Arabidopsis thaliana: one gene and its partners. The protein of the gene in region 1 interacts with the protein of each later gene in a pairwise test. Each region holds a gene or a part of one and is shown in the gene's direction. Other genes may lie near its edges. The genes, in order: PAB2, CID8 and CID12.

Region 1 (10,591 bases):
TTGAGATTTTGAAGATTCGTATTCTAATTAAGATCTGGATTCGTGTTGATTTGAATGCCTTTTAGGAATTTTGATATGGGTAAATGAATGGGCAATTGCATATTTCTGTGTGCTCATATTCAACGTTGACAGTTTAAAGTCTTCTCTTTTAATATGTGTTTCTTAAGTAGGAGTTCCACATAGAAGAGAACACGTGCTTATTGTTAATTTCATCTCTGCAGGTTTGCAAGCATCCTTTTTCATTCTCCCCAGTATATGCTGACAATGCTCCGTCAAGGCTCCCTTTCCAGGAGTTTGTAGTTGGCATTGCTATGAAAGCTTGCCATGTTTTACAGTTCTTTCTGCGGTTGAGTTTTGTGCTTTCTGTCTGGCTTCTCACTATACCTTTCATTACATTTTGGATATGGCGTTTGGCTTTCGTGCGAACTTTTGGTGAAGCTCAAAGGTTGTTCTTAAGCCACATCTCCACCACAGTAATTCTCACTGATTGCTTGCATGGGTTCTTACTATCTGCAAGTATTGTCTTCATCTTCCTTGGAGCTACTTCATTAAGGGACTACTTTAGGCACTTACGAGAGCTTGGGGGACAAGAAGAGAGAGATGATGATGTGGACAGAAATGGTGCTCGTGCTGCAAGAAGACCTGCTGGACAGGCTAATAGGAATCTTGCTGGAGAGGGGAATGGTGAAGATGCTGGGGATCAGGGTGCTGCGGTTGGTCAGATTGCTAGAAGGAATCCTGAAAATGTTCTGGCAAGGTTGGACATACAAGCAGCTCGTCTTGAGGCTCAGGTTGAACAGATGTTTGATGGGTTGGATGACGCTGATGGTGCAGAAGACGTTCCATTTGATGAGCTGGTTGGAATGCAAGGTCCAGTGTTTCATTTGGTTGAGAATGCCTTTACTGTAAGTTGATGTTTCTACTTTTTGGCAATGTATATTTTAAATTCTATGTTCCTTCTTCTTCACTATTGGCCCTTATTAAATCTTCATGATGTGCATAATTTTGCAGGTTCTAGCAAGCAATATGATATTCCTTGGTGTTGTTATCTTCGTGCCCTTTACCTTGGGACGGATTATATTGTATCACGTGTCATGGCTTTTTGCTGCTGCTAGAGGCCCTGCTGTGGCTGCATCATTGCATCTTACAGATACCGGACTCTCATTGGAAAATATTACTCTGAAGAGTGCGCTGACTGCTGTCTCGAATTTGACTAGCGAGGGCCAAGGAAATGGGCTGCTTGGTCAGCTCACTGAAATGATGAAAGTCAACGGAAGTGAATTGAATGGAGCAAACAATACGCTATCAGTTGCTACTGATCTCCTGAAAGGTTCTACTGTTGGGGCCTCAAAGCTTTCTGATATTACAACTCTGGCTGTTGGGTACATGTTTATCGTATTTCTGGTGTTCCTTTACCTTGGGATCATTGCACTGATTCGATATGCCAAGGGTGAGCCACTGACTGTTGGAAGATTTTATGGTATTGCATCTATAGTAGAAGCTGTACCATCCCTCCTTAGACAGTTCTTGGCAGCAATGAGGCATCTGATGACCATGATCAAAGTTGCCTTTCTTTTGGTCATCGAGCTTGGGGTCTTTCCTCTGATGTGTGGTTGGTGGCTAGATGTTTGCACTGTTAGGATGTTCGGTAAAACAATGTCCCACAGGGTACAGTTTTTATCAATTTCTCCTCTGGCAAGCTCACTTGTTCATTGGGTTGTTGGAATCATGTACATGTTGCAAATAAGCATCTTCGTCAGCCTTCTTCGAGGGGTACTGTGTTGTCCCTACTCATTTTCATTCTAGAAATAGTTTTTTTCGCTGCTGCTATCTAAATATATCTTTTCACTTTGTGCCAATTGCAGGTTCTTCGTCCTGGAGTTCTGTATTTCCTTCGTGATCCAGCAGATCCTAATTACAATCCATTCCGAGATTTGATTGATGATCCAGTGCACAAGCATGCTCGGAGGGTACTGTTATCAGTTGCAGTGTATGGAAGTTTGATTGTGATGCTGGTATTTTTACCAGTCAAACTTGCGATCCGGATGGCTCCTTCAATCTTTCCACTTGACATATCGTAAGAAATATTGACTAACCTCTTGTTTTTGGAGATTTTGTGTTTGATTAGGTCTTTCCTAACTTGGGCATATATGCAGTGTATCCGACCCATTCACTGAGATTCCCGCCGACATGCTTCTGTTTCAAATATGCATTCCATTTATCATCGAGCATTTCAGACTTCGGACCACAATTAAGTCCCTTCTACGCTGCTGGTTCACTGGGGTTGGTTGGGCGCTTGGTTTAACAGACTTCCTCTTGCCAAGACCAGAAGACAACATTGGTCAGGACAATGGAAATGGTGAACCAGGAAGGCAGAACAGAGCACAAGTGTTGCAGGTCGGAGGACCTGACAGGGCCATGGCTGCGCTTCCAGTAGCTGATGACCCTAACAGAAGTCGCCTCCGTGCTGGGAATGTCAACACGGGTGAGGAATATGAAGATGATGACGAACAATCTGATTCTGAGTAAGTTCTTACTTTAAAAATAAGCTAATAGCTTGTTTGATATTAAGAATTTTGGCATACTTGAATAAATTAACAGGACTTTTCGCTTGGTATATAGAGTTGACTAAGTACTTTAAGACTCCCATTAGGGCTTCCCCTGATATGAATGTATATTTTTAGCAGGTACAACTTTGTGGTCCGGATAATTCTCCTTCTACTTGTTGCATGGGTGACTCTTCTTCTCTTCAATTCAGCATTGATAGTTGTGCCAGTTTCGCTGGGACGTGCTCTATTCAGTGCCATTCCCATTCTTCCAATAACTCATGGCATCAAGTGCAATGGTAATGTTTGTTAATTTTGATCTTCTGAGTCATTCTTTGGCACGGGTTACACATTATTAACAGTATTCCCTAAAAATATGTAGATCTGTATGCTTTCGTCATTGGCACATATGCCTTTTGGACTACCATATCTGGGGCCAGGTATGCTATCGAGCATGTCAAGTCAAAGAGGACTTCAGTCTTGCTTAACCAAATATGGAAATGGTGTGGGATTGTATTCAAGAGCTCGGTGCTGTTAGCCATATGGGTAAGTGTTTTGTGCTGTTAAATTTTCAATATACGAGAAACTCTAAACTCTACTAAATGTGGATTCTGTACTTTTCAAATGGTGATTGAACAGGTTTTTATCATTCCGGTGCTAATTGGACTTCTGTTTGAGCTTTTGGTGATTGTCCCAATGAGAGTCCCAGTTGATGAAAGCCCTGTGTTCCTCCTGTATCAAGACTGGGCTCTTGGGCTCATCTTTTTGAAAATCTGGACTAGACTGGTAAGTAATTTTCTCCAACAATCAGCAACTTATTTCCGCAGAAGAAGATATTTTGTCACTAAAAAACAACGTCAATGGACAGGTAATGCTGGATCATATGCTTCCAATAGTGGATGATAGCTGGAGAGCAAAGTTTGAGCGGGTAAGAGAAGATGGCTTCTCGAGGCTTCAAGGGTTATGGGTACTTAGAGAGATTGTGTTCCCGATCGTCATGAAACTCCTAACGGCTTTATGCGTGCCTTATGTGTTGGCAAGAGGAGTGTTCCCAATGCTCGGATATCCGCTTGTTGTGAACTCAGCGGTCTACAGATTCGCGTGGATAGGTTGTCTTTCAGTGAGCCTCTTCTGCTTCTGTGCAAAAAGATGCCATGTCTGGTTTAGAAACCTTCACAACTCTATCCGTGATGACCGTTATCTCATTGGTCGGAGACTGCATAACTTTGGGGAAGCTGCTTTAGCTAATCAAAACCAAAACCAAAGTAGTGAGGATGCAGGAGATGGTGTCTTGATAGGACGAGAGGGAGATGTTGATAATGGACTTAGGCTCAGACGTGCAATCCAACAAGAAGCTTAGAAAGAAACTGTGCACTGAGGCGTTTAACATTTTGTGTACTTAAGCCGTTAAGAGATGGCTTTGAAAGATTTATTATTAGTCGATGTGTAAATTATTATATCCGTTGATGATTCTCTTTTTTTTGTTTTTGTGTACGAAACTAAAAGATCTTTAGAATAATGCTTCGTTTGTCCATATGCCTTGTGTGTTTCTATGATAATGCTTCTAGAATACCTTCGCTTACTGCAAATTCTTGTCTTTTGTCTCTTATGTTAGTGCATGTAAGCCTTAAGGAATTGGCGTTGAAGATCTATTTGGCCGATGTGTGATTGTAGACATACTCGTTGATACTGTTTTTGGTTTTTTATTTTCCAACAGAATAAAAATAAGAGGAATGTTATAACCCCATTAGATAGATGTCCATATCAGGTTCATCTCAGACCCATATGCTTCAAGGGTTATGGGTACTTAGAGAGATTGTGTTCCCGATTGTGATGAAACTCCTAACGGCTTTATGTGTGCCTTATGTGTTGGCGAGAGGAGTGTTCCCAATGCTCGGATATCCGCTAGTAGTGAACTCAGCGGTCTACAGATTCGCATGGATAGGTTGTCTCTCAGTGAGCCTCTTCTGCTTCTGGTTTAGAAACCTTCACAACTCTATCCGTGATGACCGTTATCTCATTGGTCGGAGACTCCATAACTTTGGGGAAGCTGCTTTGGCAAAACCAAAGTAGTGAGGATGCGGGAGATGGTATCTTGATAGGACTTTAGGGAGATGTTGATAATGGACTTAAGGCTCAGACGTGCAATCCAACAAGAAGCTTAGAAAGAAACTGTGCACTGAGTCGTATTAACTTAGGCTTGGAAATATTTACTAGTCAATGTGTATCCCGTTGATCCTCTTTTGTTTGTGTATAATATCCAAAGGATCTTAAGAAATGAGTAATGACGCTTCGTATATATATATGCCTTGTGTGTTTCTACTTTCTATTGTAATGCTTTTTGAAATGATTGCGTATTGCAAAATCTCATCTCTCATCTTATGTTCTTTCGTGTCACAATTCTACTGGAAGGCCAATCGTGTATTAAGTTGAATTGTTTTGATAAGTCAAATCTTAACATATTGGTTATTTAATTAAGATACTTTTTGCATACCATATAAAATCGTGCGGTAAATATTAATATTAACAACTTTTACTTTAGGAAAATCAAAATTCATCAAGATCCAGTGAGAATATTGCTAATCAGAGTTAAGAAATGTTAAGATAAATCAAAGAAAATATCATCACTGTACAAAATTTTAACAAACTTGGTTACTAATTAGATTCGAAAGTGTCAAACACGCGCGTATCTGTTTGACTTTTCCGAAAGTGACGAGAAGGAAGACGACCTTATCAATTCACCAGCAACTCTAAAATCAATCCTACGATTTACTTCAGACTCGATCCAACGGCTGAGATCAATCTCACACTCCTAGGGTTCTTCTAGGGGAATTAAAGGTTTCTTTTTTTTGTTGGGTTAATAATATAAAAGCAAAGAAAAGGAGAAACCGTAATGCTTCTTTTTCATCTATCGTAATTGTGCTTGTTTCGCCTAGAATCTCTCGGCCCCCAAATATCTCACTCGCCGTCGCAGGCTTCGCCGCCGGCAATTTCTTACCCTATTTCATCTTCCCTCTCCTCTGATATACCCATAAAAACACAAAAAAAACGAAAAGATAAAAACTTTGGCTTTAGTTTTGTTGATTTTGTCATTCGATTCGATTTCTTTTTCTTCTTTCAAATTCTAGGGTTTTCGATTTGGTTTCAGTCTAATAACGAGAGGGGAGGGAAGAGTAACTAAAACCCCAAAAAAAGTCAAAAAAGTTTCGAAAATCCAAAAAAAGATAATGGCGCAGGTTCAACTTCAGGGTCAGACTCCGAATGGTTCGACCGCGGCGGTCACTTCTGCTCCGGCGACGTCAGGTGGAGCAACGGCGACCCAGTTTGGTAACACGTCGCTTTATGTGGGGGATCTCGATTTCAATGTGACGGACTCGCAGCTTTTCGATGCGTTTGGCCAAATGGGTACTGTGGTCACCGTTCGTGTCTGTAGGGATTTGGTCACTCGCCGATCTCTTGGCTATGGATACGTTAACTTCACCAATCCCCAAGACGGTTAGTCTCCTTAATTTTATTTGGACTTCTTCTTACAATTTCCAATTTTTAGGGTTTGCTCGATAGTACCAGTACTGGATTTGAATGAGGTGTGTTTTAAATGTTGATACTTTATGGTGTTTGTATGTATGCAATGTGGTTGGTGCTGTTGGAAAGCTTATCCCCTGCTTAATCAATCTTTTTAATGCTACTTCTGTCTTCTAATGGTACTTTATCTCGTGTCTTTGTTGCAGCTGCAAGAGCGATCCAAGAACTGAATTACATACCTCTTTATGGAAAACCTATTAGGGTTATGTATTCTCATCGTGATCCTAGTGTTCGCCGAAGTGGCGCTGGCAACATTTTTATTAAGGTACGCTTGTCTCTATCCTTCTGACATTTGAGTTGCTGTAAGACGAGATGATTGTTGCGAAAAAATTTGTATCTTGTATTATTCATTGAAAAGTCTGGCAAAAGTAGTTGATTTCTTTAGTTATGTAAGTTTTTTTATTGGGTGTTCTTTCTCTCTTTCTGATGCTAAACCTGGCTATAATATGCAGAATTTGGACGAGTCCATCGACCACAAAGCACTGCATGATACTTTTTCATCGTTTGGAAACATTGTGTCGTGCAAGGTAGCTGTCGATTCTTCAGGCCAGTCAAAAGGCTATGGGTTTGTGCAATACGCCAATGAAGAATCTGCCCAGAAAGCTATAGAGAAACTGAACGGCATGTTGCTCAATGACAAGCAAGTGTATGTGGGTCCTTTCCTGAGGAGACAAGAAAGAGACTCCACTGCTAACAAAACGAAATTCACCAATGTGTATGTGAAGAATCTCGCGGAAAGTACTACCGATGATGACTTGAAGAATGCTTTTGGCGAGTATGGAAAGATAACAAGTGCTGTCGTGATGAAAGATGGAGAAGGGAAGTCCAAGGGCTTTGGGTTTGTCAACTTTGAAAATGCTGATGATGCTGCTAGGGCTGTGGAGTCTCTCAATGGGCACAAATTTGATGATAAGGAGTGGTATGTTGGTAGAGCCCAGAAGAAGTCAGAGAGGGAAACAGAATTAAGGGTCCGTTATGAACAGAATTTGAAGGAAGCTGCAGACAAGTTTCAAAGTTCAAACTTGTATGTTAAGAATTTGGATCCTAGCATTTCAGATGAGAAACTTAAAGAGATCTTTTCTCCTTTTGGTACCGTTACATCTAGCAAGGTTCAATGTCCCTCTCTCTCTCTCTTTATTTGTAGTGAGTTGACTCTCCTAGTTCATTATTTAAGAAGTTCTTTTATTAAATATTACAGGTGATGCGGGATCCTAATGGAACAAGCAAAGGCTCAGGTTTTGTTGCTTTCGCAACTCCCGAAGAAGCAACTGAAGCTGTAAGTCAGTTGTATCGTCTTGTTGATTGTATTTATGAGGACTTTGATTGTTAGTAACAGTGGAATACTGTACAGATGTCACAGTTGAGCGGTAAAATGATCGAAAGCAAGCCACTCTATGTGGCTATTGCACAGCGGAAGGAAGACAGAAGGGTCAGACTACAGGTTTGCTTCTCTTGGAATCACCTCGTCTTGTGATACACTTACTACTCCTACTTTGCCTGTTGGAGTTTCAACTCTAAACAATTGGACCCATCATGTACAAGTCTTAGAATGTCCCACTGCGTATAATTATCAATACTGATGCTGATTCTTCTTTATAATCAAGTGCAACAATATATAAAGCATAAACAACATATGTCCTAGTATTTTTGTATCACAGAAAAATCTCTTTTTTCTCCTGCTGCTGAGTATTTGCATTGATGTGAATAGGCTCAGTTTTCCCAAGTGAGGCCAGTTGCAATGCAGCCGTCTGTTGGTCCCCGCATGCCAGTGTATCCCCCGGGTGGTCCTGGTATTGGACAACAAATGTTCTATGGTCAGGCCCCTCCTGCCATGATTCCTCCCCAGGTAATCTTCATGTTACTCTACTTTAAGTAGCCGTGTACGATTTTACACAAAGATATGCACATGTTTATTTTCTACCTTGGGTATAATGAATTACAAGCTGACAGATGCTTTTAAGTCACATGAAAAGTTTTTAAATTCTTTAGCTCTATAGTTGCTATACTCATACTTGAGCCTTTCCAAATCTATTTTGAAACTGCTGGGATAATATTAACCTGTACTTATGCAATGCCACAGCCTGGGTATGGATACCAACAGCAGCTTGTTCCTGGAATGAGACCTGGTGGGGGTCCTGTACCCAGTTTCTTCATGCCTATGGTTCAGCCACAGCAGCAGCGTCCTGGAGGAGGAAGACGTCCTGGGGGAATCCAACACTCCCAGCAGCAAAATCCCATGATGCAGCAACAGGTTCTTCTCTTTTCCTTATTTAATTGCAATAAAGGCTGCTTTGCTTGCTTGGCTCTCTTTTAATAGTTGATCGTATGGTTTTTCTGTTTGGATGGTGGTTAGATGCATCCAAGGGGTCGGATGTTCCGGTATCCCCAAGGGCGTGGTGGTAGTGGTGATGTGCCTCCATATGATATGGGCAACAACATGCCATTGACTATTGGAGCTTTGGCTTCAAATCTGTCTAATGCTACTCCAGAGCAACAGAGGACGGTGAGAGAATCTCTTAAAAACCAAATAGAGAGACTGGTTTTGCTTGGATTATAATAATGTGACCCTTTGGGTGTGTTTGTACAGATGCTGGGTGAGGTGCTGTACCCGTTGGTGGAGCAGGTTGAGGCAGAGTCTGCAGCCAAAGTGACTGGGATGCTTTTGGAGATGGACCAGACTGAAGTGCTCCATCTGTTGGAGTCACCAGAAGCTCTCAAGGCCAAAGTTGCAGAGGCTATGGATGTTCTCAGGAGTGTCGCTGCTGGTGGTGCAACCGAGCAGCTCGCTTCCTTGAACCTCTCTTAAATTGCTTTTTATCATTTGATCTTTGGCTTTTGTCTCTCCCATACAATTGGAGTTGTTTCTTTGCTATTCGTTTTCTCCCTGGGAATTTGGATTCCTCCACATAACTGCGTTTGTGTTATTTTAAACCTTCGTTTTTAAACCACAAAGGAAAAACCTATCTGCTTTGTTCTTTTGATTTAGTTGCGTGTTCTAGCTTGTTCGATCTAGTGTTCACGGAAGATGAATTTGATTACCAATAAGGCCAATGCTGGTGATCCCCCTCTTTGGCCTTTTGACTGTTGGTGGTTGTTGCTTCTAGTCATTTTTTTTACCAGTTTTTCAAGCTCTATTTTATGGTAAAAAGGTGTCCTGGTAAAAATGGATGAATGGGTCTCATTCTCAGCAGACAATGTTTGAATGAGAAAGAAATACATTTTAAACTTTTTATACACTTTGCTTCTAGATTGATTGGGACTAGTCGAATAGAAATCTTAGTAGAGGTCTAAGGAAACATGATACACATCTTGTTTGGTTGAAATCTTACCATTGTTTTTGGTTTCAGTTATTGATCTGGTTTTTGGACTACTTTTTCTGCAACTATTTGAGAATGAGAAATTACTTACCAAAAAAAAGAAAGTCTTCATCTACGCCAAGGATTTAGAATATTCGTACATGAATTTTGATTTCCAGTACATTGCGTCATGAACTATATAGTCTACTTGTTTTTTTTTGTATCTATTTGACATGCAGCAAAGCCAGCAACACATCTTTTATTGAGTCTGATGATATTTGTGAACTAATTCGAAAATATTTAAAAGATTCGAGTGTATGAAAGGTTTAACTATTATCAAAATCTCTAGATATTTCAACTGATGGCAACACTCAACAATCTCACAATCACGACATAAAAATCCAATAACACTTGAAACCAAAAGAGGGTTCAAATTAGGGTTTCTTGTTAAATCGAAATTGGACTTTTATTTATTTATTAACATCTGACTTTTGAGTTTTGACCAAAAAAAAAGATGGAAAATATCGCTTTGAAATTGAGGACCCAAAGGAAACGTAAATATGCCGACCAATCAACCATATACCAAAAATTGATATGTGGCTATGTCCCCACCACCACCACCTATCATATCACAAGTTCTCTCTACTTTTCTCCGAATTTTACCACCCAATCAAAACGCTTCTCTCTTCTTCTACTTCTTCACTTCTCTCTCCTTCAACAAAATTTTCTACCTTTGTTTCTTCTCTCAGATTTCATAAAGAAAAGATTTAATCTTTCATTGGAATCTGTGAGTAACAGAGGATAAGCGAATATGGGTTCAATCTCTTTATCCAATTCTATGCCCATAACTCGACTTCCACTACTTACATCACTCTATCATCAAAGCTTCCTTCCGATTTCTTCTTCATCTTTCTCTCTTCTTCCTCTCTCTAATCGTCGTCGCTCCTCCACTTTTTCACCGTCAATCACCGTCTCTGCCTTCTTCGCTGCTCCTGCCAGCGTTAATAATAATAACTCTGTTCCGGTGAGTCAACTTTGCTCCTTTTAGATAAATCCTTTTATTTACCTAATAACCCTTTTGGCTTATGGTTTGAGATTTGTTTTGGCTCTTTTGGGTGTTTCAGGCAAAAAATGGAGGTTACACAGTTGGGGATTTCATGACTCCGA
Region 2 (10,591 bases), on another chromosome or scaffold:
TTTAACGTTTTTTAAAAATCATTTATATTAGTATAATTTCAGTAATCAAAATGAAGAAATGTCAACATGAGGAAATAACAAGAGGACATAGCCACATACTATAAGTAATAGTACCCCAAAAATAAACACTATTTGAGAAATGATAAGTGAATGATTACACTACATACACGTAAAATCACTGAAAAAATGCTTTAATCTTTAATATGATTGGAAAAATTCGAATATAGAGATAGGAACTAAACAAATATAGCCAAGAAATCCTTTAAAAATTGTATTCCCAGTTACACTCTCCTCGGACTTTCTGCTTAAGATTCCTTTATTTTCTGATGCTCCTAAAAAATTGTATGATAGATAACAATTTTCCTAAGTACAAAAATGGTTCTTTCTATATGTCATGTGTTACCTCTCTTATGTTGAAAAATGCTATAATGGGCCATCGGGTTTCTTGTCGGAGTTTTTCGGAGATTGAGAAACCAACGTTATGCTTTCACCGTTCTTTGGCTTATGGTTGTTATACGTAGCTACACCAACGATGGCTGCGAGTGAACAAAATTCACAAGATCACACTTTTAAGTCTTACAATCCAATGCTCAATTTTGTCTGAAATGGTAAACATAAGATGATCTTACCAACGGCATAACCAAAGAGATTGATGATTGTGAGTTTTGTCTCGGCAAAGAGAAGAGCTGAGACCAAAACAACCAACCAATCTTTAACCACGCCAGCAATTCGGATAGTAAGAGCACTTGTTCGAGATATCACAAGAAAAACCGACAAATTGAGAGCAAATGTACATAGCGAATTAAGACTCAAGACAAGAACATGAAAGTTCCATGTATCCATCTTCGACTTCTCAAGAAATATCCATGGTATGAACAAGCAAATCGCGCTGCAACACACACATCAATACAAGCAAAAAAAAAATTGGGATTCTTTTAAAAGTAGAAAAGTAAAAGTCCACAAAAGTTTAAAAAAAAAAAAAAAACTTTATTAAATTGGTGAATTTTATGATTTCTTCAAATTAAAAAAATAAATAATGAGAATAGGGTTCTTTGATTTTCACAATACCTGCATGGGCTCATGTAGTACATAAGAGAGAGTGGATTTAATTTGATGCCTTTCCTCTTAACAAGAATTTCCATTAAGATTAGCCTCAAGGCTTCTGAAACAATACCACCCATTTGGTAAACAACTCCAACCCAGTTGATGTTTAATTCACCATAAGACGAGACTAAAACGCCAAAACTTATGACTGACATTATCAAAAGCATCTTGCAGCTCATTATTTCAAGCCCAACACAAACTCCAAGTATAAACACAGCAACAGGCACTGCAAAAATATGATTCTTGATTATCTAAAATTTATAAGTAACGCAAATGAGATCAGGAAGAGCTTAAGTTCTTACTGATGGCTTTCAACATTTGGGAAAATGCAACAGTTATGTAGAGATAAGCAGTGTTTCCTAACCATAGAGTCATTGCAAACATTGCACCTATTGGAATAACTGATGTAACATATCTGAGTACATAGAGTGATGTTTTAGCTAAACGGTATTTACAACTCAAAAATAAATAAATTGCTTACAGAAACACTTTCTTTCTTACATTTCTAATGTCATTCCTTCCTCAACCTTCATGACCTTTTAACAAGAAGACTAATAATCAGAATTAAGCGTTTTTGTCTTATAAGCATTAAAGAAATTAAAGGTCTTCGTAATAACCAATGAGATACCTTAAAAACCTTCGTGAGGAGAAAACACAAAACAGAGGAAAAAGTCATGTGAAGTAATGTCAATCCAAGTGGATAAGGGAAGTTTATTTCCTTAGATGACAATACCCACTGCATCAGATTGAGTCAGAAATAAAAATTAGTGCTGGAAAAAAGAAACTGAAAGAAGCTAAAGAGAAATGGAATGAACCAAAATTTACAAAAGTTTGAACAGTAAAAAAGTTGTTTAAGCGAATAATCATTTGTGTAATGGAAGTACATAACTCACCATTGAACCATACATTTGAACCTACTGTTGTATTAACAAGAATTTTATTATTATTATATTTCTTGTCCAAAACCAAATCGCATTGTAACAGAACTTTACCAAGATTGTCAAAGTTAAAAGCTTTAAAATCTACTAATGTCCACCAGATCTAATAAAATCAAATCTTGAGCAAAAAGACTGCAAATAGAAAACATAGATCCAATAACATATGAATGTGAGATTTGACTTAAAACCTTATTGAAGAAGATTTGACCGCTAGAGAGAGTGATGTAGAGAAGAATGGAAGCATACGTCACATGTTCTTCTCTAAGAAAGCCTCTGATCCGACTTCGATCCGCCATTAGAGTCAACAATCGTTTTGGTCTCAAATCAGCAAAAGATATTGCGATTCTCATTTGGTATGTCTTCTTCTTGAATATTCAATAGTACCTCACTTTTCCATCTTCTAAGCAAACTCTTTAAAGTTGACTAAAAGTAACGAAGAAATTAGCGGATCCCTCTTTAAATAACTTCTTTTCTACGAAATCCGTTTTAATTTATAAAGATGGGTCGGGTACACGGGTCATAAACACATAATGAGAGACTATGGGCTTTTGTTGACCAGTAAAATTAAAGCCCAGTATAATATCATTATTTTTTTATTTTTTTTTTATATATATCATTATTCTTAAAAGGGAAATTTGCAAAATTGACTAACAAAAAAACTATAATTAAGAAACTAACCAACAAAAAAAACAGAGACATTTTGTATATAAACTATAATATATACTAAAGTACCCTTAACTATACAATCACCATCTCTTCTATGCTATTACAACCATTACCCTTGTAACCGTCATCATCATTGCATCCACCACTATTTCCACAAATGTCATACCATCATCACCATCACCACTGCAATCGTCACCACCATAGAAACTACCATTACGCTGTCATCTCTACCATCATCACCATTATTGCCGCCGCAATTGACACACGACCACTGCAACCACCAACACAAATATTACTACGACCTACACCATACACACCACCACCACCTTAATCACTTCTTCCTCTCTTCCATTGCTTGTTTCACCTCTCTCGCCTCTCATCTTTTTTTTCTACTTTAACTTAATTAAAACAGAACCGAACTATAGTTTTCTATTTTACTTTCAATTTTGTACCATTCTATTTGCTAGTTAGAACAAAAAAAAAATGAAAACGAAGACTCACAAGATCTTATTGAATATTTTCTGGTTTGATCAATATATAAAATTGAAAATCCTTAACACAAATTTAAACCCAAAATCGAATCGATTTCAATTCGCTTTAGGAAAGGAGAAAAGAGATTAAAAGTATATAAACATGATTTTGTCAGATTTCTAAAAACTGAAACTTGAGATGATTTCATTTAGTTTAATTATTTTTGTTTGGGTTCCATATATAGTATCTTAGGGTTTAGTTTTCTTAAATCAATAGATGTTTTTAAATTAGAATGGATTGATATAAAAAATTTAAATTTTCTGGAAATTTTCTGTTGGATGGAGAGAAGAGAAGAAGCAACGAAGAAGATGATGAATGAAAAAGGTCTGTTAAAAAAACATTACCTTTAAATCAATATCTGATTCACAATCCATTACCTTTAGAACATATAGAATATTACCTTTAGATCAATATCTGATCAACAAAACGAAGAAGATGATGAGTCATGGCAAATTGGAAAATAAGGAAATAATGCAGGGATAGACTTGTAATTAGTTAGAGTTTTTGGTTACTTGCTGAATTACGTAAATTATATGGCTATATTTTTAATTTTTTGTCCTAATATGGCTATACAGCTAATTCACCCTTCTTACAAAAACTTTTTTTTTTGGGTGCAAAATTCTTACAAAGCTTTGGTTAATCTTTTCAAATCCCCAACACACGAAGCTCTTATAGACCAACTCATTAATTTTAAACACTAAAACTCGTAATCTGAAGAAGTGAAGTGAGTTTAAATTTATGAAAACTCTAAATTTGTAATTTGAGTTTTGGTAAGAAATTGATAGTTTTTCTATGCAACAATAAAAAAATGCAAAACAAATTACACACTTAATACATCGTTGCAAAGTCTTACATTTTTTGTTTGTATTTTTTTTTCCTGACGAGAAACCATTCAAATTTTATATTAGAAAAACCAGAAAATTATCATATTGTTGTGTGGTTACTGTTATTAGGGATATCAATACAAAAGTAACTGCAAACCAAAATTGAAATGTAAAATAAAATAACAAAATAGAATAAAAGCAGATTATAAAAGTGGAACTATAAAATCCCAGCAATAGTTAAAAAATATATTAAAAAAAGGAAAAAATCCCCCAACGAATCCAAAGATTTATGGACTAATTATTATAACAATTGCTTGCAATTATGAAGAAAATAAAAGTTTATAAAATAATCAAAATTTTGTTGATGTGTCAAACTAACAGTATCTAAAAAATAACACATTTCAATGCAGTCCATATGAAAGACCACACCCTATCTAATATCCATAACAAAAATAATAACATTTTAACAATTATATTAAATAATAATATTAGTAATGTGTAATATATTTCTTAGCAAAAAAAGTGTACTAAAACTACTAAAGATTTTTTTCAATATAAAAAATGTAATAAACTGGTGTATGTGTAAAATATGTAATTATCTAAAGGCCCTCAAGAGGAACATAAAATAATAAAGAATCATAACTTTTCTTTTCTTTTTAATTTTACATTTGACGAAATTAATTAAGAAAAAAATCTTAGTCCGAAAAAAAAGAGAAGCACTCTTGTTAGAGAGTTTTGGTCTATTTGATTGAGCTAGAAAAAGGCCTAAGCAACAAACCAAAACCCATCATTCCTTCTTCTTCTTCTTCTTCTCATCCATCGCCACCTTCTGAAACCACCGCACTAGATTTATATATTGTCTACGATTAAGCATTCTCGTATTCTGAAATGGGTGTTCAATAAAACTCGATTAATCTCATCAAATTTTGCATCTTTTTTACGAAATTCGACTGAAGAGAGAAGGAAAAGTTCGCAACTTTTTCTTTCCTCTGTCTCTTGTTTTTTGTTGAATTGTGATCCTTTTTGTTGTTTTATATTTTTTTGGAATTTTCTGATCTAATTAATGGCTGCGATCACTGAGATGGCCACTGATTCAAATGACGTAATCAACGATGGTGGAACTGGAGACGGAATTGAGAAGAGCACGGATTCTAAACCGGAAATCGAATCGGATGACCTCAAACCCAAATCCAAACCGGAATATGATCAAATGAAGAAGCTTGTTGCCATGTTCAAGAAACTCAATCCTGAAGCTAAGGAGTTTTTCCCTTCTTACAAGAGGAATACTAATCAGTCTGACGATTTTGTGATTGCTATAAAGCCATCTGGTGAAGACAACAAAAAGGTTGCCATTAACCGGAGGGTACAATCTCTCTTCTGTTTCTGATTATATTTTGATTGGTAAAGTTTGGATTTTTGGTTGACCTCTAAATGAGGTTTCATTCTAAGTGGGTTTAGGTCTTTGTGCTGGAAAGTCTCTAGCTTGAAGTTTCATATAGAAAGTTTTGTTTTTTGATCTGGTTTGGTTGGCTAATAGTTACATTGTCAAGTTTTGCAACTCTTATATGATCGTTACTTAACATTTCATTAAGAGTTTTGGTAAATTGTCTGTTTTTTGTTTTGGCTTTGTGGATTACAGAGAAGAAACAACTATAACCAAGGGAGGAGAGTGAGGTTACCTGGAAGAGCTTCTAAGGCTCAAAGAGAAGATAGTATTAGAAGAACAGTGTATGTCTCTGACATTGATCAGAGTGTAAGTTACTTAAACCCTCTTTTTAGATTTTCAGAAAAAAGATTCAGTTTTTCAACATTGTCACCTATTTTTTTTTTTTTTTTTCAAATAGGTGACTGAGGAAGGCCTTGCTGGCTTGTTCAGCAGCTGTGGACAAGTAAGTTGAAATCTATAAGCTTTGTTACCGGTTTTCATCTTTTGTTTGTTAATTAATATTACATTCTTCTTCTGAAGGTTGTTGATTGTCGAATCTGCGGGGATCCGAATTCAGTTCTTCGCTTTGCGTTTGTTGAGTTTTCTGATGACCGTAAGTTAAAGCTATTGGATTTTACTTAATCTTCTTTACAAACAAAATTCAAGTGTCAAGTTTGAGTTACATTAGTATGAATTTGTTTTGAAAAACAGAAGGTGCACGATCGGCTTTAAGTCTTGGTGGAACAATGATCGGATATTACCCAGTTAGAGTCTTACCTTCAAAAACTGCTATTCTTCCAGTGAATCCCACATTTCTCCCCAGGGTAAAAAACAAGAAGTTCCATTTTTCTCAGCCTGCATAGTAGCTTACAGTTTTAGAAACAAAAATGATGGTTTCCACTATTTCCTTTGGTGTTTTATTCAGTCAGAAGATGAAAGAGAGATGTGTTCAAGGACCATCTACTGCACAAATGTTGACAAGAATGTAAATACTTTTTCTCCGTTAAAGTTTAGATTGCGTTTGCATACTTGTTCTCGGATTTGAGAGATTCCTATAAATTGCAGGCCACTGAAGATGATGTCAATACCTTCTTTCAGTCTGCCTGCGGTGAGGTCAGTCTAGAATCCGAAAACTTGCTTTTTCTGCTCTCATAAAGATAATATGAAATTTGTAAAACAACAATAACATTCAACTTTTTTCTATCTTCTCTCTCTGTACAGGTTACTCGCTTAAGGCTTCTTGGTGACCAAGTGCATTCTACTCGCATAGCTTTTGTTGAATTTGCCATGGTAAACTCCTGTTAAAACTCAGCTTCTGTGTCCTCTTTTGTTAGTGTTAACAAGTAAAGCTGAACTTTTCAAGGCTTAGTTTTTACTTAACAACTGAATATGCGTTTGTTTACGGGATAAAAAGGCAGAGAGTGCAGTTGCAGCGCTAAACTGCAGCGGAATAGTCTTAGGATCTCAGCCGATAAGGTACACACATTATTTCTCTTTTGTGACAAACCTTTCATTGAATATAAAAACAATTTGAAATGAAATCTTTTGAATTCTTCAGGGTAAGCCCTTCAAAGACACCAGTGAGATCGCGAATCACTCGATCACCATCGCCAAACTAGGAGAAAACAGAGGCTTTGTTGATGAAGGAGAGTGATGCAACAATATTCAGTTATTTATTCTTTTTCAGTTGTCTTTCTTTTTCTAGAGCAGTTGTTTTCCAATTATGTAGTTTCTGGAAAGACAACAACCATGAACATGCTTCTTGGATTTTGAGTTCTTGTTCTGAGTTCTTTGACTTATTGAGTCATATCATCTTTCTTTAAAGGTTTTTTTTTGATCATTTTTGTTGGTTCTTAACTAAAAAAGTTTAGAATTTAGGAGATTTTAGATTTTACTATTTATGTTGAAGTGTTGAACGCTTAAGTTTTGGCATAATCATTCTCTTCATAGGAGTTTTTGGGTCAATGGAAAAGTATATTTCATTTTCCGTCAGGTATCAAAATCCAGGGATGGAACTGCAAAATTAAATTTTGGATCATTTTCTTTGTAATGTGCTTGAATTTGGCCTAATGTCTATAACTATGGGGGATTTCGACAAATCGAAAAGTATAAATCTCTTCCCATCAGGTACTCAAACTACAGGGATGAATTTACAAATATGCAGCAATAAGTCAACAGAAACGGCGACGTTTCGGAAAACCCCCATTTTCCGATTAACACAGTAACTCAAAACCCTCAAATCCTCAATCGCCAGTGTTTACGAAAGTTCTTGAAATTTGAAGAGATCTCACAGATGAGAAGTGCTATAGGAAGAAGATTCTCAAACCCTAATGGCTTCACCATTGCATCCTTAGTCAAACAAACTCCATTTCTCACCCAATCCACATCTCATTTCTCCTCTTCCTCCGACTCCTCCGGCCGTGGTCGTGGACGCGGTTCCGGTGAAGATGGAGGATTTCCCGCCGCTGGAAGAGGACAATTCGGTGTAAATCGTGAACCGGTGGTTCCTGGACGTGAACCGTCATCTGCCGGAGGTTATGGTCATGGTCGTGGTCGTCCGATCCAATCTGATTCGATTTCTCCTGCGTTTACGTCATTTGTCAAATCAGATTCTCCTAGTATTGGCCGTGGAAGAGGATCCGTTGGATCAGACACCGTTTCACCTTTCGCTGCTGAACCTCCTCGCCAATCGCCGCCTCCACCGCAGCAACAACAGTCTCAATCGCAGCAACAGCGTTCACAACCACAACAGCAGCAGCCGCGTTCGCAACCACAGCAGCAGCCTAATGATGAATCTCAGGGAAGTCCTGTATTTGTGAAGCTGCAGGAGATGCAGGACGCAACTTCGTCTCCACCACCACCAGAGTCTAAACCTGGTCAAGCTGATCCACCTGATAACATATTCAATGCATTAGGAAACGAATTTTCACATCCTAGTGGAGCAGGTCGAGGAAAGCCTCTTGTGGAATCTGCTCCAATCCGACAAGAAGATAACCGCCAAATTCGACGCCCTCCGCCTCCACCGCAGCAGCAGAGAGTACAACCTCAGCAGAAGCGGGCTCCAACGGTCAAAGATGGAACTCCTAAGCCGCAATTGAGTGCGGAAGAGGCTGGAAGAAGAGCAAGGAGTGAGCTTTCGCGTGGTGAAGCTGAAGGAAGCAGTGTGGGAGGAAGAGGAGGGAGAGGGAGAGGGAGAGGAAGAGGAGCAAGAGGGAGAGGCAGAGGAAGAGGTGGTGATGGATGGAGAGATGATAAGAAAGAAGAAGAAGGTGAACAAGAGGCTATGCGTATATTTGCTGGAGATTCAGCTGATGGAGAGAAGTTTGCTGAGAAAATGGGACCTGAATTGATGAAAACGCTTGCGGAAGGTTTTGAGGAAATTTGCGAAAAGGCGTTGCCTTCTACTACTCACGATGCCATTATAGATGCTTATGATACCAATCTCATGGTAAATGTTTCTGTGTTTTATTTTCTCTATGAATTGTCTAGAAAAGTATACAACTTGCTACTGAGAATGGTAACACTGAAACTTCAAATAGTATTAGGAATATTGAATTCTCGAGTAGCAATAGTATTAGTATTGAGTCATACTCTATAATGTGGTAGAATTGGTTGTGGTGGCTTTGAAGTTGTTTGACTGAAATATGCACAATGTACAAAAGTAGGCCACCATCTCGTCTTGTATGATTTTCAGATTTATAATAGCCTCTATGGTTTTTGTTCTTTCATTGTGAAATCGGTCATTCAGTCAAAGGAGCGATGGAGAAAGTGCTCTTTTTGTTGGTTTTTGAGTCTCTTAGTTTTCTCTATCTATTTTGGTTTGCAGATTGAGTGTGAGCCTGAATACATTATGCCAGACTTTGGATCAAATCCTGACATTGATGAGAAACCACCAATGTCTCTGCGTGAGTGCCTTGAGAAGGTGAAGCCTTTCATAGTGGCTTACGAAGGAATCAAGGATCAAGAAGAATGGGAGGTAATAGTGTTCAATTTGTGAATTTGTTTTTATATGAATCGACGCAATATTTTGTTTCAGTTGATGATCACTTGAATTTCTCACTTTCTGCAGGAAGCAATTAATGAAGCGATGACACAGGCTCCCCTTATGAAAGAGATTGTTGATCACTACAGTGGTCCTGATCGTGTAACTGCTAAGAAACAGAACGAGGAACTCGATAGAATTGCTACAACGCTTCCCGCAAGTGCACCTGATTCCGTGAAACGATTTGCAGATCGTGCAGCTCTTACTCTTAAGGTTTGATCTCTTTAACTAAACACTCAAACTCTTCATCTAACATTACTCTCTTTCTATCAGATATCTCTAGAGAGGTATTGATGTTTTTCTGAAATACTTTTGGCAATGCAGAGTAATCCAGGTTGGGGATTTGATAAGAAATACCAGTTCATGGACAAGCTCGTTTTAGAGGTGTCACAAAGCTACAAATAGAGAACTCAGGTTTCAAACTTCTTAAAAAACTTCATCGCCGGTTGAGTTTATAGATCGTACTCTAGATCTTGCCTCTACTTAAAACGGTACCCATTTCTTTTGAACTAGTACTCAAAATTTGGGCGTTAGCTTTTTCGTCATACGTTTTGAGGGTTTCCGTAATAACGGCATTGTTCTTTCGATCTTTGTTACTGAGGAGATTGTATTGTATCCCTTTTCATCAATGGGTTATTAAGGGTTTAAGCCTGTTTTTGGATGTGTAATTGAAAAGAGAATGGTTCTTGAGTGTTGGTTCTAGTGTCTTATACATGCCGTAATAGAGAAGAAAAGAGAGAGAGAGTAGTGTATTTGTTCAATGAAATCTTATCGAATGAACAATTCCGTAAACACACATATGGTCACACTTGCGATAATTGCAGCTGCGGTTGTGGCCGCCGCTTCAACCGTAGCCATGAATAAATTACTTTCAAGTTTGAAGTACGAGTATTTTATTGAGTATGCTCCGAATTTCCAAAACGAAAATTCTTAGTTGATACATTAAAGAGCAAAAACCAAGAAATAAAATGTTGTGAAACGTAAGAAGTAATAAAAATCAATTATTACATTTTCGTAAGTATAATGGTCGATGGTAGTGATCAGTAATTAATTCGTTCTG
Region 3 (10,591 bases), 9.8 Mb from region 1:
TAGAACTAGAAAATTAATACGTAACTATTTAGTGCTAGACCTAGAAAATTGATAGCCAAACAGTTTTTTTTAACAATATTTTCACCTATTTTTCAATTTAATTAGGTAATTTTATGGTGATAATATATTAAGAAGAAGTATTGTGATATAATCTGATTGAACATATACGTTAATATTGTTTTATTGCCTTTTCATCATCCATTCATTTTCTTTTCTTTCCACATAGATAAATGTGCCATGATAATTGTTTTCATAAACATTAAATACATATATCTTATATTTATAAGTAAATTTTTATGACATTTGAACTACCTCAATGTTAAACTTACAATTTTTGCTATTATAAATTTTTTGGAAACGTCTATATTTATAAGACCAAAAAAAAAACTAATATTTCATCTTTAATATATAACAGTAACAGGATTGATGGATAGTATGCCACAAAGACACCCGGTAGAAGGTTGGTGCAAAAGGCCTCTACCTAACCAAAAACCAGGACCATGTAATAACGACCGTTGTTCGGCTAGGTGTAAGGAGCAGAAGCAATTTGAGTTTAAAGGGGGCAAGGCAATGGGTATTTGCTCTAGTGAAAATAGATGTCTTTGCACTTTTCGTTGCCGATAATTTTGATGCATTTATTTATTTTAAAATAATAATCATTTGTTTTTCTCCTTTTCTGACATCCAAAAATCATTTCATATTCCGTATTATATAATATGTCTTATTAAAATCAAACAAATATTTGTCATTTCTATTAGTGTTATTACCAAATTCTTGTATGGATTAGTGTGTTGTAGATGATAAATTTTATTATTGTTATAAAAAAATAGATTACCTAGAGTTGCCAAAAGAAAAAATATTACTTAGGATACTGAAGAAATAAAAGAAAGTTAAAAGAAAATTTCATTCTCAAAACCTTTACGTTTTAAATTGAGGATAAAAGTTACTCAAATAAATTTTTATGAAAAATATAATTAATTTTATGAACGATTACTTTTATCTTACATTCAATTTTTTTTTTACTTATAATGTACAATATATGAATAGCAGCCAATGATTTTAAATATTAATGAAATGTCTTCAACATGAGACATAATCCGCATCAAAAATACAAAATCATTTTTTTGCCAACTACAAAATCATAAAGCACAATAATGGGTGTAATTGTTTTGTTACGATAAATTAAAAACAATGTATATAAATATATATATATTTGTACATTTTTGTGCAAGGTTTGTATTTGTACTTATGATCATTTTAATGTTACATATAGTTCTGAGGAATGATTCGCATATGACTTGATCCAACATAATTCCATCGTGATTTTTTCATCATGCATTCATTTTTTTTTTCATGCTACGTAGAGAAATGTGCCAAGCATGGAGTATTTGGTATAATTTTAACAGGAGCATGGAGCATGGAGTATTTGGTATAATGTAGAATTAGGTATTCAACTGACTTGCTTTTATTGATTTACTAATTATGGTATTTATACACAATGATCTCTATCAAGAGATAAACATAAATTCCTAAAATATAGGTTAGAAACTCTATCACCAAAGATATTGTACTAATCCTAATCGGATTACACATATTCCCAATACTCCCCGCACGACAAACGTGATACGCAAAACGCAAACTTTGCAATCACAAAGCGGAACACGTATGTCGTGGACAATATGTCGAGGACGGACAAATCATGTCAATAAACATCTTAGGGTATAAACTTTATTCTTGGGGTGGAACTTCATCTTGTCTTCGATCTTGGTAAAAGGGAATACATCCCGTGTGCGCAAATTATGCTGCTCCACAAACAATCGTCCTTATCTTGGACGGTCCATAACTCGGATTACACATGACCTAAAAAACATGAGTGTTCCATAAACTCTACTAATGGCTAAACTATAACCAAACTCCCCCATAATGGTAAAACTATTACCAAACTCTCCCACAAGAAATGTAACAACATAAACAAAAAAGAAACTCTGAAATTTCTCTTAACTTTAAAATAATTCTAGAAACATAAAAAGAAAAACCAAAACCAATCCTATTAAAAACATAGGAAACCAACGATCACGTAACCTCCATCCCTTAACATGCCTACGTTTTCGTCGGCGTCACCGTCTTCTCCTTCAGTGATCACTATCTTCATGATTTTTTTTCTTGATCACAAGAACTTTAATGCGGAAGCTTTAATTCTTATCCACAAGGATCGACTGCTCTGATACCATGTAGAATTAGATATTCAACTGACTTGCTTTTATTGATTCACTAACTATGGTATTTATACACAATTATCTCTATCAAGAGATAAACATAAATCCCTAAAATATAGGTTAGAAACTCTATCACCAAAGATAAGTACTAATCCTAATCGGATTACACATATCCCCAATATATAATTTTTTCATTATAAGTTTTATTATATGTTATAATTTTTGAAAAAAAAAAGAATGTTTGTTATAATTCTCTTCCTCCAAATACTTTGGTGAGGTTTACGATAAGATTGTTACGTTCAATCCTTGCTCTGAATAAGTTTTGGTTCGTGTTGTTTAAATTATTCAGTACTTAACTACTAAACTAAAATCATGTATATGTGGATGCGAAATATTGTTTTCGTATTTTTTTTTCTACGGTGATTTCAATATTGGTAGCTATATAATCTTTGTGTTTAATGAACTTAAAGTACCAAAAAATTACAAGTGAGTTTTCGGTAAGGAACTCAGATTATTTACATCTCATTAATCTATTTACATTAATTCGTGATCTTCTGTTTACTACGGAGTTTGGAGTATTTCAAAATGTTTTCTCTAGCTGTATCTTCACAAGATGGGCTTCCCGATATGGGCCTCTCAAAATATATTTTGTTTTTGTTTAAACAACCCAAATGTAGCTTTTTTCTTGTTTAAACCCAAATTGTATTTGTTTTTATTTTCTAACAAAAGAGAAGTATTTCGGGTGATACCAAATAACTTTCGAAGGAAAAAGACAAAACATAAAATGAGATTTGGTATTTTGGTGGTTGCTAGGAAACTAGAAGATGTCTAGTACCATGATTCGATTTCCGGAAAATAATACAAGACAAGAGTTTGGTAGCTATTGCGTCGATAACATAAACAATTAGGCAGCATTTTAAACTAAAAGAATAATCTAAAACCACTATTTTCAGCTTTGATTCCAAAAACACAATAATTCTTTTAAGAAGATGTACAAAAATTCGAAAAAACTAGGTAGATTTGCTAAATTTATCCCCAATAATTACAAAACCAGATACCAAATCAAAACACATGTATATTATTTCCGAACTGGTTCGGATTAATTGATTTTCAACTCATAGAAACAGCATAAAACATAGGGGTAATTAGAAGAAGAAAAATTATGGTAATGTAAATTTAAAATAATGTAGACAAAATCAATTAAGATGTTGTATTTGTTTAATTCTTGACCGCCACTATATGTAAAGCCTATTCTTGTTCGACGAGCAGTTTGCTATTTTTGAAGGCTTTAAAGATTTGTTTGTCGGTCTTCAAAAATTATATATGATTCTTTTTTGTGTTTTGTTCTCATTCAAACACTACCGAAAATCACTTTCCGGTAGATCATCTATCATGAAATTGCTCCAGCACAAACATGCTTAACTGTAAAGTTTTTTCGATATGTTTAATCGAAAAGATAAGTGCATTTCGTGGATATAGATGATCTAATTAATTTTTAAAACTCTTTTCATTCACTACTATATATCCTGAAATCGGGATGTTACAATTTATTTCTGAATTTTTTTAAGTGTCTCCTACATAACTAGATATGTTACAACCACTATGGATCTTATTTCTAAAAAGTATTGAATACATCATGTCTAAATTGATTAATTCTCAAATATACTACATTTTATGCTATTTTCTGTAACTTCCATCAGAATCCAAAATTTTTTTTTAACATACCATAAATTTTAATTTTATGATTTATGAAATATTTATAGATTTTATTATTTTAATATTTTTAAAAAAATCCAAAATAATAGTATCTTTTTAGCTAAAATTTCTTTTACTGTATTTTAGGATATTTCTCTATCTAATTGTACACCATACATATAACCATAATTTGGTGTAATTCAGATTTAAATTAGGATGACATCAAAATTAGTCAAAATCAAAATAGCATCTCTATTTTATTCTTATACTTCCAAGGAAAAAAAATAAAAGAGCTTTAAACGTGTCGTTATAGCTGTAAAGCTGGTGATGGAACTGGTAAGTTGGTAACTGCTTCGACCACCGTACGAATATGGTGGTTACTGGTTAGGCTACACGGTAATTTCTTTTATTTACCTGCAGTGAGAAAGGTAAATAATAATGAGTGAGAGAGTAATGGATAATTCTGAATTTGTAATGTCATTGTCATTGTTTTGTCAGTAAGTGATGCTTTAGTTAACTCATGTTTATCCATATGGGCCATTCTATGTTTCATATATATATATATATATATATATATATATATATAATATGTTATTTTACTTTTTATAATTTTGATTCTTAGTCTTTATCAGAAAAGAAAAAGAATTGATTCTTAGTTCTTGGATTTATGAAAAGTAAATAATTATGTGCAAAGAGATTCTTTGATAATTTTTCAATATAATAAAATATTAAGAATATTATTTAAAAAAAAAAAATTGAGGGAAGAGATTCATTTGATTTTACGAAAACGCTAAAACGAGATGGATTAAATGTTAGCCTTTTTCATGACAAATATGTTGTAAAGCATAATCATGTACAAGGTAAAATAATTTTGGGTTTTTAGTGTTTATGTCGTAATTCTATAATTTTTCTCAACTACTTTTTTCTTTGTATAATTTAGCATTTTTAATATCAAACACTTTTGATTCCAAATACAGTTTATTTTTATTTTCTTAAGACTACTTACCAAACACACATAAACGGTTTTTAATATCTAAAGTTACCAAATGTATGTATTTCAAAAAACAATCATCAGCAAATTTAGATGTTTTGAATTTTTATTAGAAGAAATGCATTGCATGGTTATAATTAGAAAATTAAAATAAAATATAAATCAGGATTATATGACCAAAAATTGTTTTAACTTTTACTTAGCATTTACACATAAATTAACAGAAATATAATATTTTTTAAAAAATAATTTTCTTATAATAAAAATTGTTATATTGAAATTCGAATATTAAGATTTGGCAAGTCGCCAAAATATAATCACACTCAACAAATTTATATTGTCTCACTAATTATCTGTTCATAATACATATATCAAATGTATAAATCTTAATATAATAAATTTTAAACTAATTTCAACTGTCATACTAAACAAGAGTTTATACAAGTCTTTACCTAGTGTTATACTCCCTCTGGAAATGTTAAAGCTTATTGTTTAAGAAAACATATTATACACCTAAAGAAAACTATGCATTCGTTTTGTGCCATGTGTTGTTTTACTAGTCGTGACTCGTGATTCTCCATATCATTACGTTAATCCCAACTCTCAACTATTATTATGTTATTTTTTACTATAGAATGGAAACTTGTAGATTACTTATATGAAGGTTGATTAAAATGTAATTAAAATCTGTATCTTTTTTATAAAAAAAGTCTCTTCATATATGTTTTAGTTGATGAGTGATGGACAAGTAAAAATAAATAAAATAAGTACATACGTTTTGTTTTAGTGATATAAATATATGATGCCAAAAATGTACATATATTTTCTGGATAAATATTAGAGTTGTAGATCCAGGTTTGCTATGATCTAGCTCTGTCCGAAAATTGCAGAGCGTGATCTTTTCTCTGTAGTACGACCGATTTGTTTTACTTTATCCAATCGTTTTAACTTTTTCACCACGGTTAAAAAAGTTAAAATCAGATCTCTAACCATTTTCTCAACGAACCTCGCTAATATTTCTCATTTAATCAAAATTTAATCACCATTAATCCTTTGGTTGATTACTCTTTTGTCCTCTTCTTCTTCTCTCTTCTCTTTCTTGGTGGCTCTCTTCTTATAGCCACTGTTCCCTTTTTCATTGTATTCCTCAAATCTCTTTACTTGATCGTTGGTTCTCTCAAAAATCAGATTTTTATTTCTGGGTTTTGTTCGATTTTGTGATCATGGCGGTCATTGAGAGCGTCGGAGCTAATACTACTGTGGAAGCTGGTGGTTTGATCTCGCCGTCGCCGCCGTCTTCCGTCACCAGTCAAGAATCAGGAGCTTCTTCTAACAACGATCACGGTGGAAATGGAATCCATGATGAGATCGGAGTCCACGTGGCGAGATCCGACGGTGGTGAGAGTTTTAAGCGTGATATGAGAGAGCTTCACGAGCTCTTGTCTAAGCTTAATCCTATGGCTAAAGAGTTTATTCCTCCTTCACTTACTAAGCCAGTTGTTAATGGTTTTAACGGCGGTTTCTTCGCCGTTAATAATGGCTTTGTTGCTGCCGGAAATTTCCCCGTCAACGAAGACGGTAGCTTTCGTCGGGTAAGAACATCTCTCTTCTCTCTTCTCTGTGATTTTGGGGTTTTGAATCAAATTGTTCTTTAGGGTTTTTGATGATTCTTCATTTTGGTTTCTCTGTTTCTTCTTGTGTGTGTTTGTGAGTTTTAAAAATCTCACCTTTATGTGTCAAAATGATTTGATTTGAAACAGAAGAAGTCGTTCGGACAACAAGGGAAACGGAGAATGAATCCTAGGACAAGTTTGGCTCAGCGTGAAGAGATCATAAGAAGAACTGTCTATGTGTCTGATATTGACCAACAGGTTTTAAAAAGTTTCCACCTTTCTTCAATTGTTCATTCTCAGCCTTTAGTGTATAATCACTTATTAGTAATCTTATTCTTGGGTTTAAGGTCACTGAGGAGCAGCTTGCTGGTTTGTTTATCGGCTTTGGACAGGTTTAAGCAACTTCTTAAAGTTCATCTTTGTTTGTGTTGTGTTATGGTGTTGACTGTATTTGGTTGTTTAGGTTGTTGACTGTCGTATATGTGGTGATCCCAACTCAGTACTTAGGTTTGCTTTCATCGAGTTCACTGATGAAGGTATCATTAGTTTCTCTATGTAATCTGTTTATTGGATAATGCCTGTAAGTGCTTGGTTTATGGTTTGTCATTTTGGGACTTGTAGTGGGTGCAAGGACTGCTCTGAATTTGTCTGGGACGATGCTTGGATTCTATCCTGTGAAGGTTATGCCGTCTAAGACAGCTATTGCACCGGTTAACCCAACCTTCTTGCCAAGGGTAAGGTTTTTTCTTGTGTTTCATCACATTCTGACTGCAAAGTTATGGTTTTTTAGACTCAAGAGGTTTGATTTTAGTCCTGTCTTTGTTCTTAGACTGAAGATGAGCGTGAGATGTGTGCAAGAACTATCTACTGCACTAACATTGACAAGAAGGTGACTCTCACTCGAATAAATTGGTTTCCTTTGCCAAACTATTCTGAAACTTAATGTTGCTAACTTTGCTTAGTTTCACTTTTCAACAGCTCACTCAAACCGACATTAAACTCTTCTTTGAGTCTGTGTGTGGCGAGGTGTACCGTCTGAGGCTACTGGGCGATTATCATCATCCAACTCGCATCGGCTTCGTGGAGTTTGTCATGGTAAGCAAATACTTCTGTTATCTCTCTTTCTTCCAACCTTCCATTTGTCAACTATAACGCTTATGCATTTTCATTAGTTAAGTATGATCTTTTCACTCTTCCGCAGGCTGAAAGCGCGATAGCGGCTCTCAACTGCAGTGGTGTCCTTCTTGGTTCTTTACCGATAAGGTCCAAGAACAAACCAACACTTACTCTTTAACATTCTCTCTAAATTGATCATCAATCTGAACATTGATCGTACTTTGGTGGTTGGATTTTGCAGGGTGAGTCCATCAAAGACACCGGTTCGTTCCCGTGCTATCCCGCGACATCAAATGCATTAACCGTAGCTACAAGTTTTATATATATTTCTGCTCCTCACAGACATGTAAAGAATGTTTGTCTGAAACTTCTGGTTCTTCTGTTTTCCCGTATGTAATGCTAGAAGCTTGATGATGCTTCTGTTGCCTTTTGCTTTTGGGTAAATCTCTTAGGGAGAGTTTTTTCGATTTGGGTTCCTACGTTTAGTAGTTTACACAGAGCAGAAGAGTAAAACACTGAGAGAGGCTTTTGAAGATTGTCTCTGTTTTTTAGTTATTTATACTCTTACCCCTGAAGTTATTAGAAACTTGCTTTGGTGCTTAAAAGTTTCTTCTACATTTTAGAGTTATGCATTTACATTATTGTCCTTCTTTGTTTTTTTTAATTGTTTTCGTCTTCGAGAAAAGTGTTAGGTACATGAAAGTCTGTGTTCTTAGTTGAACAAGTCAATTTCTATTTTCATTTTAAATTTCGGAAACGTGAATCATGTTTATCAGAAGAATATCAAGATTATAAAACTATACTAGTCACAAACATATTTAAATTTTAACAACAAATGAAGAATTTTGAGAATTTTAATTATATTTTCTTTGAGATATTAAATTTATAAATTTATGTTCAAAGTTTTTATGTTTTCATGTTAACGTCGGGAATCAAAAGTCGTCCTAGAAATAAATTATATAATTACCATAAACAATTTTGAATTTAATTATAAAAAAAGAGAATGAGGAATCTAGAAATTTATTGTTTTACCTTAAATTTTTGGATATTTCCCATGTTTAGTCTATGTTCGTAGTCAACTCAAAACAAAATCAAATTTCTGTTTTCGATAGGATTTAAATAAGAATTATCAAAAAACAAAATCTGAATAAAATAAAGAAAGGAATCTTGGAAATTTTTAAATTTTACCCTGAATATTTGTATTTTTTTCTTAAGTTTTAACTTTTCTTTTGGTTCTCCTTTCATCAGCAAACACATTAATATCAGTCAGACAGTCAAATTCTTGAATTGGTCAATGTTAAATTTTTAATTATCATGACAAGTAAACTTGCTCAGTTGTATTTTTAATCGAATGGTAAATAAACTTTAAAGGATGAAATTGTAATTTGCAAGTATCACACGTCAAGCGTATGTGGTGGCTAGTTGGACTTACACCAGTTGAGTTGATCCATCTTTGCGCATTTCGAGAGCGTCTCTGTCATCTCTAAGTAAAGCTTTGACATCTTTTGTACTTTCCAAAACATACAAAAAAAACAAAAAGTCAAAATTGTTGTAATTATATTACAATAAAGCAAAAGTGGCTTGGTCTGTTGTCTGCTTGCCAAAATCCGAAGGGGGGCTAGGCCTTCGAAGATTCACAGAGTGGAATGTTACACTTAGTCTAAAGCTCATCTGGCTCTTATTCTCTAATAGTAACTCTCTTTGGGTCGCTTGGCATAGACATTACTGGTTCATAAAGAAAAGATTGCAGGATACTTGGAATTGGAAGTGCCTCATACGCCTAAGACCACTCGCAGAACGTTTTATTAAGTGTTATCTTGGTAATGGGTTGAATGCAAGTTTCTGGAGGGACAATTGGTCTCCTTTTGGGCCACTGATTAAGTTTCTAGGTGAAGAGGGTCCAAGGAGATTGCGGATCCCTGTGGTGTCCTCTGTTTCTAAAGCTATTGTGGAAAATAGTTGGATTTTGCCATCACCACGTTCTGATGTTGAGCTTCAATTACACACTTACTTATCAACTATTGCCCTTCCATTGCAAACGGACTCGGCAGATTCCTATGGTTGGGTTGTTCAAAATGTGGATTGTAATGGTTTTTCTTCCTCTAAAACATGGGAGGTCCTGAGGAGAAGAGAAGACAAAAAGGATTGGGCTCCTCTTATCTGGTTTAAAGGTGCAACGCCTAGAAACTCATTTCATATGTGGATTTCAAATCTCGATAGGCTGCCTACTCGTGCGAGGTTGGTTTCTTGGGGTCTGCAGATCTCACCTCTCTGTTGTTTATGCTCTCAGTCTGTTGAGACCCGGGACCATCTTATTCTCACTTGTGGATTCAGTTCTTCAATCTGGAACATGGTGCAGGCTAGGCTTAGGTTGCAGCCTGTTCAGTTCAGAGTTTGGGAAAGCTTACTATCTTGGATCAAGTTAAGTACGGCCTCCTCTCCTTCCATCATTAGGAAGCTTGTTGCTCAAGCCACTGTTTGTGCTATTTGGAAGCAGAGAAACAACCTTTTGCATAACTTACAAGACATTCTACCGTCTATCATCTTCAAGAATATAGACCGTGAGATCATCAATTCCATCAACGCAAGGTGTCATCGGAGAAAGTTTAGATCGCTTATGAGATTGTGGATCAGATAGTTCTGTCTTTTGGTTATTATAATTGTTTGCTTCCTTGTTTTTTCTTTCTTTTTGCCAAGGAACCAAAGCTTTAGGTAATCAAAAATATAAATCCAACTCTATTTCATTTTATATGATATTTACTCACTTAGCAAAAAAAAAAAAAAAAAAGTTATATTACAATTTGCTGGTACTAATTAATGACTTTTATTTGTATGTTTAACTAGAGCCCAACCCAAATTTATCAAACGCACATTTTTTTTTGACAACTTCTTTTGAATTTTCTATTTAATTATATGGCTTTAAACAAAAGAAATTATGATATTGTGAAATTGTTTTAATA

The links.
Region 2: the proteins of PAB2 (region 1) and CID8 interact in a two-hybrid assay, tested with the Arabidopsis thaliana proteins (2 studies listed by BioGRID).
Region 3: the proteins of PAB2 (region 1) and CID12 interact in a two-hybrid assay, tested with the Arabidopsis thaliana proteins (one study listed by BioGRID).

Annotation. Positions count from the first base shown.
Region 1 is NC_003075.7:16,330,959-16,341,549, forward strand, and holds PAB2 (poly(A) binding protein 2), read left to right. Parts: upstream 1-5,332; 5' UTR 5,333-5,773; coding exon 5,774-6,041; intron 6,042-6,274; coding exon 6,275-6,393; intron 6,394-6,580; coding exon 6,581-7,237; intron 7,238-7,326; coding exon 7,327-7,404; intron 7,405-7,479; coding exon 7,480-7,569; intron 7,570-7,836; coding exon 7,837-7,974; intron 7,975-8,208; coding exon 8,209-8,379; intron 8,380-8,481; coding exon 8,482-8,631; intron 8,632-8,715; coding exon 8,716-8,934; 3' UTR 8,935-9,356; downstream 9,357-10,591. Other genes in the region: CER9 (RING/U-box superfamily protein), read left to right, coding at 222-905, 1,012-1,773, 1,866-2,077, 2,157-2,525, 2,685-2,845, 2,929-3,092, 3,186-3,332, 3,415-3,906; LEJ1 (Cystathionine beta-synthase (CBS) family protein), read left to right, coding at 10,236-10,448, 10,549-10,591. UniProt on the Arabidopsis thaliana protein: Binds the poly(A) tail of mRNA. Appears to be an important mediator of the multiple roles of the poly(A) tail in mRNA biogenesis, stability and translation. In the cytoplasm, affects both translation and mRNA decay.
Region 2 is NC_003070.9:20,025,779-20,036,369, reverse strand, and holds CID8 (CTC-interacting domain 8), read left to right. Parts: upstream 1-4,750; 5' UTR 4,751-5,126; coding exon 5,127-5,426; intron 5,427-5,702; coding exon 5,703-5,816; intron 5,817-5,907; coding exon 5,908-5,952; intron 5,953-6,029; coding exon 6,030-6,102; intron 6,103-6,200; coding exon 6,201-6,313; intron 6,314-6,414; coding exon 6,415-6,474; intron 6,475-6,554; coding exon 6,555-6,602; intron 6,603-6,710; coding exon 6,711-6,779; intron 6,780-6,903; coding exon 6,904-6,965; intron 6,966-7,047; coding exon 7,048-7,108; 3' UTR 7,109-7,447; downstream 7,448-10,591. Other genes in the region: AT1G53660 (nodulin MtN21 /EamA-like transporter family protein), read right to left, coding at 424-536, 630-889, 1,069-1,330, 1,407-1,519, 1,606-1,640, 1,733-1,840, 2,231-2,392; AT1G53655 (uncharacterized protein), read right to left, coding at 2,869-2,979, 3,584-3,613; AT1G53645 (hydroxyproline-rich glycoprotein family protein), read left to right, coding at 7,783-8,937, 9,316-9,465, 9,559-9,744, 9,856-9,936.
Region 3 is NC_003075.7:6,551,211-6,561,801, forward strand, and holds CID12 (CTC-interacting domain 12), read left to right. Parts: upstream 1-5,771; 5' UTR 5,772-6,125; coding exon 6,126-6,494; intron 6,495-6,662; coding exon 6,663-6,773; intron 6,774-6,862; coding exon 6,863-6,907; intron 6,908-6,978; coding exon 6,979-7,051; intron 7,052-7,136; coding exon 7,137-7,249; intron 7,250-7,344; coding exon 7,345-7,404; intron 7,405-7,493; coding exon 7,494-7,610; intron 7,611-7,716; coding exon 7,717-7,778; coding exon of another isoform or gene 7,779-7,809; exon of another isoform or gene 7,810-7,872; coding exon 7,873-7,933; 3' UTR 7,934-8,392; downstream 8,393-10,591. Other genes in the region: AT4G10603 (S locus-related glycoprotein 1 (SLR1) binding pollen coat protein family), read left to right, coding at 416-624; AT4G10613 (RNA-directed DNA polymerase (reverse transcriptase)-related family protein), read left to right, coding at 9,829-10,269. UniProt on the Arabidopsis thaliana protein: Binds nucleotic acids in vitro.